Mytilus edulis: one gene and its partners. The protein of the gene in region 1 purifies or fractionates together with the protein of each later gene. This does not show direct contact. Links are inferred from orthologs where the notes say so. Each region holds a gene or a part of one and is shown in the gene's direction. Other genes may lie near its edges.

Evidence for each region. The genes of interacting proteins can lie anywhere in the genome.
Region 2: the proteins of ribosome biogenesis regulatory protein homolog (region 1) and uncharacterized protein fractionate together in Homo sapiens (co-fractionation; 3 studies listed by BioGRID and IntAct, with this or other methods). This does not show direct contact. The link is inferred for Mytilus edulis from reciprocal best matches to the Homo sapiens genes RRS1 and NOP2.
Region 3: the proteins of ribosome biogenesis regulatory protein homolog (region 1) and pre-rRNA 2'-O-ribose RNA methyltransferase FTSJ3-like purify together in Homo sapiens (affinity purification with mass spectrometry; 3 studies listed by BioGRID and IntAct, counting the BioPlex papers as one, with this or other methods). This does not show direct contact. The link is inferred for Mytilus edulis from reciprocal best matches to the Homo sapiens genes RRS1 and FTSJ3.

Annotation. Positions count from the first base shown.
Region 1 is NC_092352.1:17,453,011-17,460,234, forward strand, and holds the start of ribosome biogenesis regulatory protein homolog, read left to right. Parts: upstream 1-4,202; 5' UTR 4,203-4,241; coding exon 4,242-4,393; intron 4,394-7,224. Other genes in the region: rho GTPase-activating protein 44-like, read right to left, coding at 3,960-4,030. UniProt on the Homo sapiens protein: Involved in ribosomal large subunit assembly. May regulate the localization of the 5S RNP/5S ribonucleoprotein particle to the nucleolus.
Region 2 is NC_092356.1:37,575,952-37,583,436, forward strand, and holds the start of uncharacterized protein, read left to right. Parts: upstream 1-4,476; 5' UTR 4,477-4,561; coding exon 4,562-4,667; intron 4,668-7,485. Other genes in the region: putative leucine-rich repeat-containing protein DDB_G0290503, read right to left, coding at 1-1,511, 2,041-2,051. UniProt on the Homo sapiens protein: S-adenosyl-L-methionine-dependent methyltransferase that specifically methylates the C(5) position of cytosine 4447 in 28S rRNA. Required for efficient rRNA processing and 60S ribosomal subunit biogenesis.
Region 3 is NC_092349.1:66,464,827-66,472,770, reverse strand, and holds the start of pre-rRNA 2'-O-ribose RNA methyltransferase FTSJ3-like, read left to right. Parts: upstream 1-4,935; 5' UTR 4,936-5,055; coding exon 5,056-5,122; intron 5,123-7,944.

The DNA of each region.
Region 1 (7,224 bases):
TTAGCTATTAGTTAATCATATTTATCCACAACTCTTAGATGTACATCACTATAACTACAATGCATGCTATATAGTTAACCAAACTTCAGCTTTGTAGCTTTTAAATTACAGTATTTGGGATGGATATTTGGATAAATAATCTAGGACTCAATAAATAAGATTATTTTTTGTTATGTTTATCTATTCAATTTTGGTGTAGTAATTAAGAACATAGTGTTCTTTATCAATATATTACTGGTAAATCCTCTCTAACATTAATTTCTTCAACCTTTTGATTGAGTCACATGCTCATGAACATTAAGGAAATACATTGTACCATTAAGGGAAGTGTAGACTTAAGGAGAAATGCAACATACACCATTTATGAAACAATAGAAAGTCCTGAAATAAATCAAATTTCATAAAATCATAAGAATGAAAACAGGAAATCTGATAATGAATCTGTATTCTGAATCATTCTGTTTATCTAATTATAGATTTGTTACTAATAAAATACAGTAGTTTTTATCAGATCTTGACAAGATACTGGTGTGTTACAATAAAAACAAATGTTTATGAAAAATAGACATCTGTCTACTCCATCTAAATCTAATATAATGGAAACGTAATTAATATGTAAACAAAAAACTGAACATAACTTCAATTCATGTTTGACCATGATAGTACATACAGTTGTACTATATCACCATAGGTTTCTTACTACTGTACAATGTACATGTACAAATGTATCTAAAAAATAAACTCAAAATGTATGCAAAATCTAGAATATTTCAATGAAGCTTAATATACAAATGTACAGGTCATACATTGTAGTGACCTATCTTTTAATATACACCCCTTTTTTACACTTCCCTTCAGTCATTAATTCACATATAAATGCAAATTCACTTTAGAAGATTGAAAATTTATCTGTATATCAAACAAACATTTAGCAGTATATATTTAAGGCCAGTTGATTGATCTTCATAATCATTGATTTCTAGCTCTTAATTCTGGGTTCTCCAGGACTCATGAAAATCTGTCTACACTCATAAACATGCTGAATTGTATGCGAGAAATTTCATAATTTTTCTTTATTTCAAAGATGTATTCAAGTTATGATGTATATATATGCAAAAGATTTCAAGAATTTTAAGAGTCAGTCCTGGTATGCATTACATTTAATAATATCTTAACCTAAAATTCATTTTCTTGAAAAATCAGGCAAAAAAAACAAACTGTTATATAAATTCAATATAATTATCTGCCATTGATTGTAAACTATTTTTTCCGAAAATTTTTAATACAATATACATTTATTGACACTTAATTTTTATAATAGTGTAATACTTATATTTACTTTAAGTATTTGATGTTCTTATTTTTTTTTAATGAAACTTGACTGAAATATTTTTAGACCAAAAAAAGTATTTTTGCGACATGACATTGAGCCAAAGGAATGCTCAGGATAAGACATCTGATCTACCATGAGCACATATGTACATATACTCATTCAATACCACATCATATGCACATTGACAGATAGAGTATTGGACAAAAAACATAATTATTCATAAAAATAAGGCGAAAACTTTAATCTTATGAAAATGGTTTGTGTTTTGTGGGGTGAGTCAACTTTTAATTTGTAAACATAATTTTTATTAAATTTAATACCTGTATTTTTAACTCAGGACTGTCATCACTTTAATTTTTATAAACAATATTAGGTTTGAGTTAATTACTGAGAGTAAAACAAAACACACTAAAATCTGGTTTTGAAGTTCAATTAGATTTCACTATAATCTTTTCAGAGTCCTAGCTACATGTGTATATATGGTATAGTAATTTCTGATGAGTTTTCTATTGGCCTTTAGCAGCTAAATTAGCTTTACTGCAGTTGAGTAATTATAGTAAATGATATTTGACTGCTAGACTATGCAGTGTGAATGAATAAAATAAAATATTGTAAGGTACCACATCAAAAGTTCAATGTAGGATAAAACACTTTTAAATTCATATAGTTTTTTCACTGACCCCCCTCCCCCTACCCTTCTCTTAACTTAATTTGTAAAAATTGATTAAACAATAAGGATATATATATGTAAAATCAATGTCAATTAAACAAAACTTGCAGCAATTTTGACCCCACCCCCAAACTATTTGAATTATGTTTTTTATCCTTCATTGATCTTTTGATGTCATCCCTAATTGAACGCATTTCTGAAATTTTATAAGGTTGTTAAATTCTTGACAGCAACACATTTTGTTGAAGCACACAAAAGCTTGAAACTAAAAAAAAATCTGCATGGTCATTTCTACATGTACACTTTGATTGTATTTTGAACTTCAAGACATTGTTCCTAATACCCTTTGAAATGAATTTCAAAAAATTTGTACATGAGAGCACTCACAAAACTGACACACCCACATGATGGATGGAGGGAAGCCTAGGGCTGTATGCCCCTATGTTTCTGGTTACAATTAATAAAACCCAATAACTCGGAAATGTAAAATGTAAAATCTATAAAAACCAAAAGGGAGCTTACGTCAACAGATATATATTAACTATCAAAGTTTCATGAGAACTGCTGCAAAGCATTTTTTAGTTATTATCTGGAAAATCCCCCCTTTTTTAATTAATAAAACCCTGTAAACTGAAAAATCCCCCTTTTTGGATGAATAAACCCCACAACTCGGAAGCGTAAAATCTAAAATTTATAAAAAAAAAAAAAAAAGGGAGATTACGTCAATATATATAAACAATTCACCAAAGTTTTATTCAAATTGGTTGAAGCGTTTTTGAGTTAATGTCCGACATGTTGTAACAGACAGACAGACAACAATATGCTATAATTCACCAATTCATATATTATACATTTCGTAATTTTCCATTGGTTTGGTTGTATAAATATAAACAGATATGTTACATTTTAGCCATTGTGAATACTTCTGATAAAAATTCAGATCACAGTCTGTGTCAGTGAATTTAAAAGACCACTTTTGAGTATGTCTGTCACCGTGAAAAACTTGTCAATTATGCGCGCTTTTATGACGTCATTTACCAGATAAAGGGGACAACCTGTATCTCTGCACTATAAACATACATCAAGTATCTTAGTGATCTTCATTGTGCAGGATATATATATAATCACTATTCACTAAGGACAGCAGTGCTGAAAGACAATTATGAGAGTTCAATTTGCAGAATAATTCGTGCAATATACCGGGTAGCTTTGTAGTTGTCCAACCACTCGCTCAACATTGGAACAGAAGTGAAGAAGCCCCTAAACGCATGAATGATGTTTACTAAAACCAAAAATTTGACAGAAATGCATTGAACTGTGGTCTATTATTTCAATTCACATTTCTCAAAATTTGATTGTTTGAAACTTTATTTTTTAGAAATGAAATAAGTTCTAGGGTCTGGGTTTAAACTAATTATAATAATAATAATAATTCTTTATTTAAAGAGGTTTACACAGTTAGCTAGGGTAACTGGATCCACATATATAGTTTTATTAGACCTAACTGATAACGCCTGCACCATATGATTATCAATAGACAATTTTCAAGTTAAATGTATGCCCTTATCCGGAAATGTTCGATAATCATAAGCACCTTTATGACGTCATTTACCAGGGGGATTGCCTGTATCCCTACCCTTATAGAGTTCATCAAGCATCTTCATGATCGTCATTTTTCAGGATACACTAGAAATAATGGTTGTTTTGAAGGTACTTTATCACAATTCCCTAATGACAGCAGTGCTAATTGTGAATTATAAGAATTCAATTTGCCAAATAATTCGCCTAATTTTTTCTAAAGCTCACATGGGAACATGTCTGTTTTAAATACTGATCTTCGCTTATTCTTTATTTTATAGCATGGCACATTACAGATACAGATAGATCTAGGCTATAATTTCAGTGTTAAGAATGGTAAAAATAAATAATTGTCATTTTATTTATAATCTAACTCACCTTCCTAAATTTTGATCAGCGAGTTGTTTCGCTCTCATAAAATTCTTGCGAAGATTCTCTGGCTTAAACATTTTGATAGTACTAATGCCTAAGCATTTAGGGATAAAATATAACTAATTTATGTAGGGTTCATGATTGCAGTCCGTCAATGTTGTGTAGGAAATTGATTCTGCAATATACTTCCGGGAGAAATATTTTGTAAAAACTGTTTTGATTGGTTTAAACTTTTTCAATTGACTAATCAGTGTTAGTCTATTATTTATCGTTGGATGTAAACAGAAGATGGCAGACCTCGTGGAAAAAGTTTTGAGAGAAGCAGCTGAAAAGGAATCAAAGTTTAAAACTATAGAAGTTGAAAAAGAGATTGATGTCATTATAGATGAAGGAAATCTCCTTGTGTGTGACACAAATCCTATTGATTTTAAATTACAAAAGTAAGAGGACCTCCATAATTTTCAAAAGTAACTCAGTAACACTAACACTTACATGCATGAACAGACTAACTTGTTCTTGTATCATGTTTATATTCTATGGTCAAAAGTCGGAGTGTCTTTTTACGACAGAACACCACAGAATACCACAGAACATAAAAACAAACAACAAAACAACTTAAATATGCAACATAACATTAAAATAACTTAACAAAATGCATGAACTAATATTAATTAGACGGTAAATCTAAATTTCATCACCGATTGCAAACCGCATATTAGTCCGAGATTACTCTGACATATAACGGCTGTTTTGGCAGACAAGCTGGGGCCGTGGGACGTCAGAGCTCGTCTCATATCAAAAAGTGGATATTTGCCCACCCAAAATAGATGCGGTACCTCGAATGACTGAATAACACTGTTAATATCCGAATAACACTTGTAATGACCGAATAACACTTGAAATTTTAATATTAGCAACATATTTGTGACTTTTAAACATTGATTATTAAATATTAGTACATTATCGATGTATTTTGTTACTTAAAAATGATTTATAGAAAGCAGAAAAGTTCTCAAAAAACTTTTAAAATTTAGTGTGTACATCCAATATGGTGACCACGGAAATCACAATGGCCGCCATGATCGATGTACACACGAAATTAAAAATTATCTTTATGCACTTATCTGCTGTCTGTAAATCATTTTAAAGTTATAAAATACATCGATAATATATTATCATTAAATAATCAATGTTTAAAAGTCACCAATATGTTCTTATATTAAAATTTTAAGTGTTATTCGGTCATTACATGTGTTATTCGGTCATTGTGTTACCCAAATAGATGCGCTACTTCGTCGCTTCTGGTGCAGACTGGTGGCCTTGGAATTATATAAAACGGGCATCAATCAATCTGTTCATTTTTCATTTATCTCTTCATTTATGTAAGTTTCACCTACCTGCCACCCTTTATTTTCTCATATTTAGACAGATTTCACAGTAGAAGTTCTATATGGGCTTATGATGTCGTTCTTGTATAACCAGTGATTTCAACAAATAAACACAATGTTTGATTAATATCTTTATTAAAACATGCCCTTTTCATATTATGATATCATATCACTTGTTAAATGCCCTTTTTCAGGATTGGAACCCTGCCCTTTTAAAATCCTAGCTGGAACACTACCTATGATCTACCTTAAGTCTTCTGCCACATGCATTGATGTCACCAATACTTGAAACTAATCTTCAACACCTGGCGTAATCACCAATTAGCCAAGAATTAAGGTTCATCATAACCTTTTGGCTAAAATGGCTGTATTTACACCACAAATTTTACTCTGAGTATAGACACACCTGTGCACCTAAGTCATGGCTGGACCTAGATAATTAAATTTTAAATGCATTTTTATGGTTCAGAAAATTATAAACTTTTCTGGATTTTGCTCTTCATTCTTTTTTCATTCCTGCAGCAGGTGCAAAAATAAACTAAGTTGGTAAAAAGTTTGAGAAACTCCCCTCATATAATCGATGTTGTGAGTAGTATTGATTTAAATGGACAATATATTGACGATAGACACCTGTAAACAATGTAACTTTTATATATCTAGGCCCTGCCATGCCTGAAAACTTTCTTAGATGCATCAGTTTGTCTGTATTTTGATGAACCTTAAATAATTTAAAAAAAGTTTTAAAGCCAATTATATTGAGTGTGTAGGTAGAGGTAATATCTTGTCTATCTTCATCAAGAGTTCTCATGTCACTCAGGTGTGTCGATCTACCTGTACAAGTAATAAGTGATCTTTAGTTGATATCCCTCAGGGCTTGGAAAATGTAATCAGGAGTACCCTTTGGATTATAATACAATACGCCTACAGATTAATTATTCATAATTGCTAACAAAAATGGCAGTGGGTAGAAAAACAAAAACTAATTTTGACAATGAGGCAGGGGTGTGGAAATATTTGTTGTGAGCACTTGTCCCAGGGCAAGTGAAACCTAAAATTTTACTTGTCCGTAAAAAAATTTACTTGCCCTGATGATCCCAATAAATATTGAAGTATTTCTTGTTAGCTAATATATGATTCTAACTTAGACTAGCACTGTTGTGCATCACAAACAAATGAAATCTATTTGTTTATATGCATGTGTAAAAAATTAGGAAAGTAGGAAATGGGTTAACATCAATAGGACAGCCTGAAACCTAACAGCAAACCAACCAATGAAATGACATGTAAAGGACAATATTACAGCAGTTTTTGAATAAAAATTGTAGCCAGTAGGTACATATACTAAATTTGAGGACAGTGATTGAAGAAATGTAAACTAAATAATAGATAAACTATTAATTTTGTAGTGTTTCTCTCAACTGACACACTTGTTTTTTTCTTGATTATTTATTATTGTCTTGATGGGCAATTAAAGCGTCCCTTCTTTTACCACTTTGACAACAAATAATGTTGATCTTTCATCTATAAATAAGACAAAAACTTAATTTTTTCCCCAAATTTCCATAGCCAGGGGCAATCTGATATCCACGATGTCTGAAATTCTCGCTTCCATTTTTTTTTAAAATAATCTGTGTCCTCCATTTACATTTAAGGTTTTCTACTCGACTTATAACTCTTTTTGTCTTGCTTGCCCACCTTTTTATTAAGTATTTATAAATCAATCTGAATCTCGATACAAAAGGAGTAGGTCCGGTAAGGACCGAATTTGGCCTCAAATTTCATGTTCATCTGACGAAAGATTTTGACCACTTTTTAAACACTTAAGTGTCTATTTTATTTGAATTAATTAGTTTATGTGAAAGATTTTAACAGATTTAGTCATT
Region 2 (7,485 bases), on another chromosome or scaffold:
CTTTGTTTTTATAAATTCTTTTCGGATCTATCCCATTTCCATGGGAATCCATAACAAATCTAATTTCACAATGAGGTTGATTAGAGATTGGAGCTTTAAGCTCTGTTTCTTCTTCGTCATTGCTTATGTTGTTATTATGGTCTGCAAGTAAGGAGAATGAATTTGAGGTTGATACCTGTGGGATAACATCTTGTCTTTTGTGTTCCATTAAGGATTGAATTTTCTCCTCCAACATTTTCAAATTTGATTTCAAGGTCATATTCTCTGATCGCAGAAATTGATTTTCAGAAATCAGTTGAGAATAATTGTTTTGAGAAAATTGTGATTCTGGTTGTTTCTCTTTTGGTTGTACCAATGTTGCATGTTCGCACTTATCTTGAAATTTTTCAAACTTGTTTTCAAATTCCAATACTTTCTCTTCTATTTCAGAGTATGTCTTTGTTTCTTGTTTTATTTCTGTTACCTTTAAGTTGACATAGTCAACAATTTTGTTTTCTAAAACATTTAGCCTTTGTTCAAGAGCTGCTGATTGATTGTTTTCAAATTCAAATACTTTCTCTTCTATTTTAGGATATGTCTTTATTTCTTGTTTTATTTCTATTAACTTTGAGTTTATGTAATCAAAAATTTTGTTTTCTAAGACTTCTAGCCTTAGTTCGACATCTGCTGGTTGATTGTCACTTTTTAATGTCAAGTCTTGTATCAATTGTTCACATTTACTGAGTTTTTCAATTTTTGAATTCATATTGTCTAAATTGGAATCTAGACTTGTTGACATACTACAAATTTTTTCTTCCATTTTCTGAATGGAAAAACAAATGCTCTCATTGTCAGTATGTATCTTTGACTGCGATTTTGGTACAATAATTCGAGGCGAAGAGGCGACTTTGAGATTTGTTTGACTTACGTCATTCTTTGATTCAAGCATTGTAACAAATTGTAGGTAGTTATTATCACTGCTGTCAAGGTCATGTGTTAATAAGTTTTCTGACGGTACAATGCAGTTAGCATCTACTATAGATTTCATATATTTGAATTCATTTTCTGCCCAAACAGAGTGAAGGTTACCCTGCACAGTTATGACAAATGTTGTAGGATAAAGGTGGAATGTTAAAAGTTTATTGGATTCAATTTTTGTCTCTTGTTCTGTTCCTTGAAAAATCTGAATGAAAATTTCAACTATTGGACCAGTATCATTGTTTACTTTGTCTACCCAGATACAAGTGTGATCACTCAGTTCCCCTAGTTGTAAATGATATCGGTATGCAAATGTTTTAATCCAGGATAAAAATCTTTCGGTGGATCTCACTCTAAACGCTGTCATTTTTGCCCCTGGCATATATAGGTCACCACTATTGGCATCTTCATATTGTGCATGTAGGGCTTTGCCAGTAGGCTGTTTGGGTAGTCTGGGCAGTTTATATTTGGAGATATCATTATGTTTTTTCCAAAAAGGAGAGGACAGAACTTTCTCTGGGTCTAGCTTCTCTAATTTTGTAAACACCGGATCCATATTTATCGAATGTAGGACAGAAAGTCACAGGACAAAAAGTCACAGACAAAAAGTCACGGACAAAAAGTCACAGGACAAAAAGTCACAATTATTTTTTTCTGATTATTTTCTTTGAATAAATAACGCTTATTTCTACAAAAATATTTTTGTATTTTTCTTAAACTATTGTATATAAACCAACTTTTTAAACAAAATATATCAAAAAAATATCAAAGATTATCAAATAATTGTTAAAAAAACAAAATGTCAAAGTGACTTGGCACTTAAATGTCTTCATGGTGCCAAGAAAAACATCTTTTGCATGATTAAAATTAATTAAATCTTCATTTTTCAAGTATAATGACACATTTCCTAAACTTTAATATGAATATATGTATTTAAAAGTAAATATTTCAAGACATATCCTTATATATTAAAACAATTGTCAATAAATTATTTGTGACTTTTTGTCCTGTGACTTTTTGTCCTACCAAATTTGTGACTTTATGTCCTGTGACTTTTTGTCCTGTGACTTTCTGTCCGTTTACCTATTTATCATGGCCACGTGGGTCTTCGAACAATGTTATTTATATAAATATCGATAATAGAACACCTTCATCTGATTTTTATGATTACAAATCAGTCATATTGTCTTTCTACAAATTCCATTTTACTCTCACAAATCATTATTTAGCAATCTATGCTGTTGTTTTGACTGCTGTTTTCTTTCCGTCCATTCATGGCGGGACCGGAATACTAAAAGTATTTGACGACAATCTTTAAGTTGGATGATGAAAATGCATATGTTCGAAAAAAAAATTGGTTTCCATTTCTACGATTGTGAAAATGAACTGCCGTAATGGGGAGATAATTTTGACGAAGTAGAATCCTGACTGTATTGTATATTTACAGGTAAGGAAACATGTGAGAATATTTGATGTTTTAAAATTTAGTGTCCTTAACCTCAAACATAACGTCCAATAAAATTTAATTATGATGTATACAAGCTGAAACCCCGCCTATCTTAATTGCCATGCTTGAGCAAACATTGATACAAACAAAGCAAGCAAGCCAAACAAAGATTTGTCTTGCTAGCATTAATGTAAAAGCTGTAATGACATGTTGATAGATTGTGTTCAACATTGTAAATATTTAGGTATAACATTTAGTGCATCAGGATCTTTTTCCTTTGCTCAGAAGGAATTGTACAATAAGGCATTGAAAGCATACTATAAGCTACGAAAGGACTTTTTATCACTGAATCCCAATATTAAAAACAGCCTCCATGTATTTGATCATACAATTAAACCCATTCTTTTGTATAGTTCGGAAATTTGGGGCTTTTTTAATCCTTTCAAAAAAAAAAAATTCTCAGACTTCTACAGTTGATCAAGCTTATCCTAAACTTTTTTCAGATAGATTACATATGAAATTTTGTAAATTATTACTAGGTGTGGGGAAAAGAGCAACAAACCTTGCCACTCTTTCAGAACTTGGGAGATTTCCTTTACATTTTGATATCACCAAATCTATGATCAGATACTGGCACCGGCTTGAAAATTTGGGTTCATCCTTTCCCTTACTAAAAGATGCATATTTAGAGTCAAAAGCTATTATTTGAATCAAAAATTCCCTCTTGGTATGGATCTTTAAACTATTTGCAAAAAAAAATTAATGGGGTTGACAGTCTAACCTTTGCAAGCAACTTTAGATTCAAAATTTTAATTAAAAAGTTCTTGTATGAGCACTATGAAATACAGTGGAGAAACCAAATGCACAATTGTGCTGATGGGAAGCTTTGTAGCTATAGCACTTTTAAGACTCATTTTGGTCTTGAAAGATACCTTACTATATTACAATCACCTGAGCAGAGTAGAAATTTCACTCGATTGCGTATTTCTTCTCACAGACTAAGAATTGAACAAGGTCGCTATCAGGGTACTCTCCGACAAGACAGAATATGTCTCAGGTGCACCTCAAATGAAGTTGATGATGAAAAACATTTTTTATTCTCATGTACATCATCACAAGATAAGAGAAATTATTCGAATTCCACTATTGACTTACTATGCCCAAACTTTAAGCATTTGATTCCTAGTCAAAAACTGATATGGCTTCTTAATGTAGAGAATCTTGATATTTTGATATCTGTCTGTGAGTTAATTGATGAAGATAAAATATAACTTTAAAGATAAATATTTAATCAGGCTTTCTGCACTAGGCACAAGGTTGGCATGGTGGGGTACAGGACACATCGTACAAGTTCTATTATCTTCTTGTTTGCGATATTATTATTTTTTTTATTAAACTGGTAATATTTTATCTTTTTTGTAATTTGTGCACTTTGGCATGTCAATTAGCGTTGTCCCTTGGTGCCTCTTGCAGTTGTGTCACTTTAAATAGTACTGACTCCTCTGCACCAGGCACGAGGATGACATACCATTTATGTGCAACTTCTTACAATATCTTACCATATCATTAATGTCCCGAAACACATTTTAATATGCACCCACCATGCCATATAGCACCGTCCCTAGGTGCCTCTTGCAGTTCAGCTAGATATATTTAGCCTACTCACAGTATTCTTTTTTGTTACTTTCCAGAGGTGTGCCTGAGACGAAGGTTTTATATATATACTAATATGTGATAACTGTTGTTTCTTATTTGTGTTTGTAACTTGTGTTGTTTATTATATTTGTAAAAGAATATTATATTACAATGATATTATATTATGCTCCTTGTGAGCCCATTTTATGGAAATAAAGCATCTTCTTCTTCTTCTTCTTCTTCTTATATGTCTCTGATTATATTGAGCTGTCTATTTCATACATTAGCCGCTGAAATAAGGTTATTTGTCAAAGTTCTGTCAGAGATCTCATATTTAAATGAACAAACTGTTGATGACAAAACCTGACGGATCATGGATCAGAGTTATTTAATGTAAAATATCCGGAAAATATAGATACCCGACATCGTTTCACTGTATATATTTTCCAACCGGAAGTGAAAATATTGAAAACACACAACACGTGGGGAAACAAATATTTTTCATAATTTCAGCACTAAATTATGGGTAGAAAGAGAGATTTGACGCTCGATGGACCAAAAAAAGGTCCTGGTAGAAAGGCAAAGAAGCAGAAACCTCCACAAATGCCCAAGGAACTGAAAGAAGACGGTATGTGTAGCACAAAAATAGGACTTGTAGTCCTAAATAAGTTCAGATTTTGTATAAACTATTCTATTCTATTCTATCATACAGTGACCGCCTTCAAAAAATTGAAGATGATGTCACAGAAGGAAACTTACAACAAGACATAGATTGAAAAATACGGAAAATTAATAAAAAATAAAAATGTTCTTATAATAAAGTAAGATGTTATAGTTAAATTGAGTTAACATTGATGCTTTGAAATTGAAGTTTTGAAAGAGTCTACTGAAGTGCAATTTACAATGTTATTAGGTAGTTTGTTCCAGTCGGAAATAGTTCTTTGAAAATAGGATACTTTTCTGTATCAAGTTTTGCATGATGCAGTGTTCCAGCTAGGCTGTTTTCAGAGGGTGTGGCGCCCGCCCTTTCCAAAGTGCCACCCTGTGCCCTTTTTACAGATTCCAGGGTGCCCTGCCTTTTTTTGAAGATGGATTGTTTATATTATTTTGTTCGTATTGATATGATCAGCTAATCATGCTAATTACTAAATTTTATTGCTTTGTTTACGACCCAAAGCTAATCAACGGTAACAACTGGTGTCAAAATCTGTTGTTAAAGGTAATCGGTTTATCGGATGGGTCACTAATGACCATCATCATTAATTCATTCAAATAAAATCGGTCAGTCGGCAATTATCTTTGAAGAAATGTGCAAACGCCAACTTGGTCACAATTTGCAATGTGCAACTAGAATTTGTCCTGGGCGATCTTTTTACTCAGTTGTGGTAGCCAAGGTGGCGAATTGAAAACAAGTACTTGACTGACTGAAATCCGCCATTTACCATGACTCCAAGTACTGGCTACATCATGGACAAAAATTTAAATTCAAAAGGAAAAATCTTTTTAAAATGTATTGCATCAATGTCGCGGTTGCGATAAATAAGGATGTCAAATCAGTGTTTACCTTTGATTAAATATAGTTCACGTTAATTCAGGTCACTGATTGGTCGTCTATTTAAAGTCGGAATGTATCGTATGTTTGCAAGGATAACAAGAGAGGTGTTCCTATGGTCATTAACAATATGAAGCAATCACGGTTTTGGCTTCAAGAAAGCTAAGAAAGTCAGGGAAGATGACAATAGCATGTCATGAAGTTATATAAGACAAATAAAAGAAAGTATGATATATAATGTTGTTAAGGGGGCTCCTGGGTATAAATCAATTTTTTTTTCTAATATAGGATTTAGCTATATTTTTTTATAAATGAACTTTATCATATACTTAAAAGAAAAATGAAATAAAAAAATGGGGTCACCGTTCATTTAACTCACAATCTGCCTCCGGAAGAAGCATACATTTTTGTTAATGTCCTTTTTTCTGTTGAGCTACAATGTAATCCGAGAAATAGAGGTAATATTAAAATAAAAAAATAACCTAATTACAGAAATCGCTTAAATTTTACAATTATTTAGTTTATGTACAGCTTATTTGAAAACAATAATAAAAAATATAGGTCACCGATGAGTTAAAAAGATATTTCAAATTTAATACCAAAAAATGGCATTTTTTCACCAGAGGGAGATAATTTGAAGCTTTTTCAATGATATAAACATTTTAAAAGTCATCTGGGGCCAAACCAAATCGTTTTTTTGGGTTGATTTTTGTACCATATCATAAAGTAATAACTTATAGTGTAATAAATAAAATTTGTAATGAAAAAATAAAGATTTAATTTTTTGCTGAAATTTTTGTACCCATGAGCCACCTTAAGAATCTGGAAAACAGTACCTTTTGTAGTTACCTTTTCAAAGCCCACGTGGTGTACAGAGTCAGAGAATGAAGGTAAAAAATGAAAGTAGAATATTGTCGAGCACACTAACATTTATAGTTAAAAATGATATATGTTCCTTACTAACTGAACAGTTTACAAAAAAAGAAGATATCAAGTTCATGACAATGCTTTTGAAATATGTGAAATAGTCTTGAGAAAAAAGGGGGGTTATTTGTTTACAAATGTACATAGTTTGATACGCAAAATGAATCGATCAATATATTTGATAAATTAGATTATTATAGAAATAAAATGAAATATTTCATCTATCATCTATACATGTATTCCAGAAGAGAGAATTCTTAAGTTGTCTTTAAAAATCTGGTACACAGGGTATGAAGATTCCCATTTTGCAAATGATTTTTTTTAATGAAATTTGATTTAAGTCAACAACAAATTTTGAGTCTAAAATTTCAAAATTTTCATGGGGGGCATGCCCCCAAACCCCCCTAGGAGGTTCAGCCCGCTTTGCGGGCTTCACCGGTGATAGTAAAATTATGTGGGCTACTGACTTTTTGTCTGGGCTAACTGATCTTCAAGTCTAGTAGCCCAGATGGCTACTGGCCTTTATAAGTTAGTTTGACCCCTGATAACTCAATCTGATTTTTTCCTAACATTGATTAACTCACTTAACATATTCTAAAATATGTCTACATACTTATTGCTTAAGAATATATATGTTTAGGTATTTTGATTCATGAGTTATGGGAAAAGTTAAAGAGGGTCTTAGTAGCAGTGTTGGTAGGGTGCCTTGGTCATCTTTTTCTGTATTCTTTAATTTTAATACAAATTTTCACTGTTGCTATATCTTAACGTTGTGCATTTACTGAGAACAGCTGTTTTGTGCTGTATTGCCATTAAGCACAGCAGAGGTAGAAAGGTGAAACTGGTAAAGTTTGTCAGACCAAAGAAACAGTATGAAGCAGGTCACCTTTCAAAACATACTGCATATAAAGCTCAACTGTGCCAAGCAATGATATAAAAACTTGTGTGACAAGCTGCTTGACAAGTTTTT
Region 3 (7,944 bases), on another chromosome or scaffold:
ATTTATAAATGGAAATACAAAATAACCTGGCATTGTAGTAAGATTAATATATAATTGTGATAACTGTAGAGTTTTAGGATAATCCTAGTTGATTTGAAAAACTTATAAACATTATTAAAGTTGACTATCAAAAGTTTATTTCGACCTGAAAATTCCAACTTTTTTACTTTTTGAGGGAAACTTTAAATTTCACATTTATAAATGGAAATACAAAATAACCTGGCATTTTAGTAAGATTAATATATAGTTGTGATAACTGTAGAGTTTAAGGGCAATCCTAGTTGATATGAAAAAGTTACAAACATTATTAAAGTTGACTATCAAAAGTTTATTTCGACCTGAAAATTCCAACCTTTTTAATCAAATACAGTATAAAAACACCATTTATTAAAAACCAGCCTCGCTAGTTGTTATGGACATCTGACCTGTAAAATACAGTATAAAAACACCATTTATCAAAAACCAGCCTCGCTAGTTGTTATGGACATCTTACCTGTAAAATATTGTATAAAAACACCATTTATCAAAAACCAGCCTCGCTAGTTGTTATGGACATCTTACCTGTAAAATACAGTATAAAAACACCATTTGTAAAAAACCAGCCTCGCTAGTTGTTATGGACATCTGACTTGTAAAATATAGTATAAAAACACCATTTATTAAAAACCAGCCTCGGTAGTTGTTACGGACATCTGACCTGTAAAATATTGTATAAAAACACCATTTATCAAAAACCAGGCTCGCTAGTTGTTATGGACATCTGACTTGTAAAACACAGTATATAAACACCATTTTTCAAAAACCAGCCTCGCTAGTTGTTATGGACATCTGACCTGTAAAATACAGTATAAAAACACCATTTATCAAAAACCAGCCTCGCTAGTTGTTATGGACATCTGACCTGTAAAATATTGTATAAAAACACCATTTATCAAAAACCAGCCTCGCTAGTTGTTGTGGACACCTGACCTGTAAAATACAGTATAAAAACACCATTTATCAAAAACCAGCCTCGCTAGTTGTTGTGGACATCTGACCTGTAAAATACAGTATAAAAACACCATTTGAAAAAAAACCAGCCTCGCTAGTTGTTTCGACACCTGACCTGTAAAATACAGTATAAAAACACCATTTATTAAAAACCAGCCTCGCTAGTTGTTATGGACATCTGACCTGTCAAAGACCAGCCTCGCTAGTTGTTATGGACATCTGACCTGTAAAATACAGTATAAAAACACCATTTGAAAAAAACCAGCCTCGCTAGTTGTTATGGACATCTGACCTGTAAAATACAGTATAAAAACACCATTTGAAATCAAAGCCTTAAAGGCTGTAAAAGCAATTGCTGCCATGTTAATGTTTGGGGACTTTTATTTTTCATCCACATATATACAAGAATTAAACCTGACATGAGTGTTGTCTAGTTAAAAGTAAGAAGGTTTTAACTTTATATAAATAAAAGACTTTAGCAGAAAGTCATTTTTAATATGTTTTATATTTCACAAGGAGACAACACGTTTAATTACCAGGCTAAAGTTGGGGTCAAATATACATGTGCTGAAACATATAACTCAAAAAGAAATCATCATGGATTATCCCCTGGTAGTGTATGTAACTTCCTTGGCAATAATTTCCTTTATTGATTTAATTTTAACAATTTTCATTATTAATTTATATTTAACCATTAACACAAATGATTAAGTTAAAACATTTCAACTTTCCAGACGCAAATGTTAAAAAACGGGAAAGAAATAAAATATCTTACAAGACATAAACATGTAAAGAATAAATGTATATTTCAGCTTAATAAAAATATTTTCATAATGTTACTTTGTCATCATTTTTAAAACTAAGTTCCAAACATTATTGCTCAGTTGATGTGTGTCCTTCTGATGCGGTACGAGCACAGGCACTTGTTTCTATCCATAGGAAGGTCGATTATCCATATAAATAGTTTTATATGGATAGTCGACCTTCCTATGGATAGAAACAAGTGCATGTGGGTACGAGATAACTACAATTCTCATGCGATCCCGAAAAGGGGGGTCATCACAGACAAACATGACATTAAATCGTTATCACTGAACTAGTATATATATTGTATAGGGGCCAGCTGAAGGACGCCTCCGGGTGCGGGAATTTTTCGCTGCATTGAAGACCTGTTGGTGACCTTAATTCTGCTGTTGTATGTTTTTCTATGGTCGGGTTGTTGTCTCTTTGACAAATTCCCCATTTCCATTCTCAATTTTATTATACGAACAACAACAAACAGCTCTACGTTGCTTTGATATTTATCAATTTTCAGGAAACATTGCGAAAAATGATCTTCAATATTTCGAAAACATGTGAAATAAAATTGCTAACACGGTGGACCGTCGAGTGTCAACAAACGTAGTAGACTTGTTCACTGAATAGACGAGGATAATGGTTTCATCTGACATTTGTTATGCAAACCCAGTTTTGATCATGATATTTAAAAAGACGTACTTTTTTTCAATCTATGTATTAATAAACTAGAAAATTCCAAATTGTAAATATCTCTTCATCTGGACCGACTTGGCATCTACTATGGACGGGTCCATTTCATTAGTAAGGTGATCGATAAATATTACGGAGTTTTGACAGAAAAGAAAAACGAACTTATTGTTGTGTGTTTTCAACAAGGGTTTCGTTCCGCTAAATTATTTGCGCAAATAAAGTTTGTCTATTTTTAGATTACAGGTAATAATTTGACACTACGCATTAACCTGTGTAGTGATTTTGATTTTACGATAAATGTATGAATGAACGATAATTTTATGAATGAACAAGAGCACCTGACCTCTTAAAGAAACACAAATTAAACATAAAAAACCGTATTTATTAGGAGATAATTCAGTTAAATTTTCAATACTAAATCAACAACTGAAATGAATCCATATTTTGTTGAAACATCGTACGAACGGCGGAAAACGGAATCGCATTTATAAAAATGTATTTTTTTTTACTCGGACTTCTATGTTATTTGATAGTCAAACGGTTGACCCTTTAAATACAAAAATACATCTACAAGAACATATTCTGAAACTTCTTAAATCCACTAACTTTTTTTTAAAGTTTCAAGCTATGTATTGCATTAGAAAACATACATAGGTGTTAAAGAATGACTGACCAGGAGCCTGTTTAGCAAAATACTATGGCTTGATCTGGGCGGAGTCTCTGATCTGGGTCACAAAGATGGCCATACGCGACGGCATAAAAGCAATTGCTTTAAAAAACCAGTCTCACTAGTTGTTATGGACATCTGACCTGTAAAATATTGTATAAAAACACCAATTATCAGAAACATGCCTCGCTAGTTGTTATGGACATCTGAACTGTAAAATACTCTAGTCTTATTCTATCTCCAACAAAAAAGAGTTCAAAAAGTAGGCGTGTTTTATTTCAAGTAGGCGGGACCAAAATCCTGCCTCGCTAGTTGCCGGCCTCACTAGTTCCGAAATAGTGCTCACTGTAAAATACAGTATAAAAACACCATTTATCAAAAACCAGCCTCGCTAGTTGTTGTGGACATCTGACCTGTAAAATACAGTATAAAAACACCATTTGAAAAAAACCAGCCTCGCTAGTTGTTTCGACACCTGACCTGTAAAATACAGTATAAAAACACCATTTATTAAAAACCAGCCTCGCTAGTTGTTATGGACATCTGACCTGTCAAAGACCAGCCTCGCTAGTTGTTATGGACATCTGACCTGTAAAATACAGTATAAAAACACCATTTGAAAAAAACCAGCCTCGCTAGTTGTTATGGACATCTGACCTGTAAAATACAGTATAAAAACACCATTTGAAAAAAACCAGTCTCACTAGTTGTTATGGACATCTGACCTGTAAAATATTGTATAAAAACACCAATTATCAGAAACATGCCTCGCTAGTTGTTATGGACATCTGAACTGTAAAATACTCTAGTCTTATTCTATCTCCAACAAAAAAGAGTTCAAAAAGTAGGCGTGTTTTATTTCAAGTAGGCGGGACCAAAATCCTGCCTCGCTAGTTGCCGGCCTCACTAGTTCCGAAATAGTGCTCACTTAACACGGGTCAGCCATTTATCGTCCCCTTCCGACGGACTATCATCGTTTCCTCGAGACCATACTCACAAATGGTGTCAAGGGAGAGTCGAAAATTCAGTTCCTGAAATTTTCATCCCAGACGGGAATCGAACCAGGAACCTTTGTGTTAGTAGTAATGTTTGATATTCTGACGAGAAAAAAATAATAAATTTTACTGTATATCAGAACTGACTAGATTAAGTTGCATTTTTTTTTAACTTTTTAATAGCAGACAGTCTGAGTGATACAGTGTGCTTTTAAGTGTAGGTTTTTTAGTTTGTGTTATTTGTTTGAGATTTTTTTGTTTGCTTGTTCAACTTGAAAATTTGTATCACCGGCACTTGTCTCTTATAAAAAAATACATATACAATGAATTATCATACAGTGGGCTTTTAAGCCAGTGTAGGTTTTTTTGTTTGTGTTATTTGTTTTGAGATTTTTTGTTTGCTGATTCAAGAAACATATGCACTTTTCCTTCTTTCGTAATTCCCTCATGTTTAGTAGCACTCGAAAATGACCGAATAATCATAACAGTATTTTTACACAATAAATCCTCTGTAAAATATGAATGACCAGTATCCTCCACCATAATATATTCTGGCAGTGTATATACAACAAGTCGTGAGCCAGTTTATATATAAGCACATGTCTCTAAAAGAAAAAAACAAATATATACAATATATTAAAGTATATGCAAGGTTTTGTATAAAAAGGTGATCAGATCTGTTTGACATGTTTGACCCATTGTTTGTCTTATGCTCGGTCTTATGTCCGTATGCGGCGAATCCAAAGTAAAGTTTATCTTACTAACTTATTTTCCGAAAAATTCGTTGTCTGTTCCGTCATTCAGTTTTGTATTTAGAAACATTTATATATTTACAGGAAATGACGTAGTACACACAAAAATCGGAAACCACGTTTTTCAATGTAAACAGATTCAGTTCATCAAATATCATTTAATATGGGCAAGAAAAGTAAAACAGGAAAATCCAGAAAAGACAAATTTTACAAACTAGCTAAGGAAACAGGTAATCATCATTTTTCAAATATAGCTGAAATAGTTTTCACTATAGATATTCTTCAATGATCAACCCCCACCTTCTTCTGGTTCATCAAAATTATTTATATTTTGAAGTTTGTCTATTTTCTTATTATTGGTACAGCTATCTTATAGAAGAGATAGAAGAAGAAAATGGGGGGGGGGGGGAATTAGTTGAGGTATCCATGGTAGTCTGTGGAGTTCAAAAAGTGTGGTGTTATAGACTCTCCTTTTCTGTTTTCTGTAGATATGTGGACTCTTTATCTTTTGATTTGTTGAATTAATTTCTGAAATACAATATTCAGTTCACATTTATCACGATAAAAGACAAATTAATAAACTTTTGGGGTGTTCAGTGTTGTTTGGCAGTGTGTGGTGGTGTTCGTTGGTGAAAAGACCTACTGCCGCCTTCTTCTTGTCTCCGTATAAGCATCCTTTATAAGAATCACCACCATGAGTTATGGGTATAAAGGAAGCATTTGAAGCCTGTATCGGTACAGATTAATGTGAGCATTTACCTACCCAATTTCCCAGCCAGGCCGTGACTGGGTCTTATTACCAGAAAGTTAACCTTCCCTAAACATAATACAATATAACAAAATAAAACATACATTTGTACTCATCAATAAAACACTACACTTTTGAGTCTTCTCTCAAATTAACTCGAATACATCGAAGCTCATGAAAGCAAATTCTTGCTTTGGTAGAGTTAGGCAATGAGAATTTAGAGAGGTCATGTAGTTTTATTGTGTCTGCCCACTGATTCACTTTCTATTCCAATCAACAAAGCATTATTCAAGATTTGGTTCTAAAAAGAATCCAATAAGGCAGGTTACACTCGTTTTGATGATATTTGTATGGGTTTCTTCTTTGATTTAAAAATACAAGTATATCTGGTTACCTGACTGACTTTTACTATGGTCAATTTGCATACTCCCATTGAACAAGGCCATAAAAAAGAATAGGTTTGTTAGCCCAAACCCTACCTACAGTACGGGTAAGGACTTATTTTTATGGATGTCTTAATCCGTCTAGATGTCAGACTGGTGGACAGTTGTCCCAGTGTAATAAACACCTGCTGTGCAATACTCAAGTGGAAGGTCGTAAATCAATCTGTACCAGCTTGATTAGAATTAAATTTTACCTGTACAGATATATTAGTATTTATGGAGGATAGATAAATGTAAAATATTGTTTTGTATTCAAAGAGAAAGAATTAAAATTAAAATTAAATATAAGAATTAAAATTAAAATTAAATATTAGAATTAAAATTAAAATTAAATATAATTTTATTTTTTTTATAATTTGAAAATGAAATAAAGACGATTTTTAACAATATATATTGTGTTGCCAATTATTTCAATAGTTTTGTGCCAATAATCTATTTTGTATTTGTATTTGTAAACCGTAAATATTTCAGCTAATTCAAAATAATAAGCCTAATAACAACCAAGACTGTTTTCAATAGAAGTTTAAATCAAATTGTTGAGACTTCAATCCCGTAAATTATACGAGTTTTCATTGATGGTTATATTATTTCCCCCTTTTAACGTCCTGTTCCTTTATATGTTATTATTAGAAACTCAATTTTAAGTATAAGGCCAACATATCGTATTTATAAAATATGTATAGGCATTGTGAATTAAGTTATTTTCCTTTTGATACAACTTTCCCCGTCGGAGCCTCTACATCTATTCACACCTGTCAATCATTTCTCGCAAGTGAAACATTTTGGTCAGACAGATCACTCGTGCTTTCTATTTTGACATATTTCCCGTTAATCTCTTTGAAAGTCAAACAATTGGTTTCTTTTAATACAATATTTATAACGCCGAGATTATATTTCGATTCCTATTTTTTTTTTTTAATTTTAAATTGTTGACACTCGAGATAATGCCTTTCTATTTTCATGTCTTAAATTTTTTATGAAAATCGCCGGTGTTATAAATATATTTTACAAATTGTATCAAATCGATACACGAAAATCAAAGTTTAACCTTATATAGTTTATTGAATAAATGCACATTCATACCCCAATGGGGTTGAAGGCTAGTAGTCGTACTAGTCGTGATCAGCTGTCTTTACTTTTTCGTCGTACTTCTATTCATTCTAAAGCTCGCGCAGTCAGTATGATTTTTTAAATCGATGTTGTATTATTTCCGAAGTTTAAAGGAGGTCTCCAAATAGATTATTTAAATGGGAATCCAGGAAATGACTGATAAAAATAAAAATAAAATAGTTAAAGAAGACTAAATCTTGTTTCGATTATACATGTATGTAAATCGATTAAATTTCTATTCTGGTAAATCGATCAAGAGCCTCAAAACTAAAGCACAATACTGTCAATCATTCCACATCAAATTTAATCATGAATGGATTTTCCCACGGACGTTCAGTAAGGTCACCTGTGTTAACTGTTACGACATTTCCCGCCATATAAAAATCTCGTGCAGTGGACAAAATCGATCTTTAATATCTTTTATTAGCATTCAATATTATTGTGAGTGGAGCCAAGTTAAAGTTCAACCACGTGCACACGCTGTTGATCACTGATATGTGTATCATGGAATTGTCTTTTCATGGCAATTTTTTCTTTTAGATTGCTATAAAAAAAATATAACATACAAGTTTCCTTCTTAACATGGATTGTGCATAAATTAATATTATGCAATTAAGATTTTGGGATTAACCCTTTCAGGATCTGGGAATTCTTTTTTCGCGATGTCGGGATTTAAATTTATTTAAATTTCGGGATCTTGGGACTTTGTGTTTTTAAGCCCGAGATTTCGAGATCCGGACCCCTTTTACCC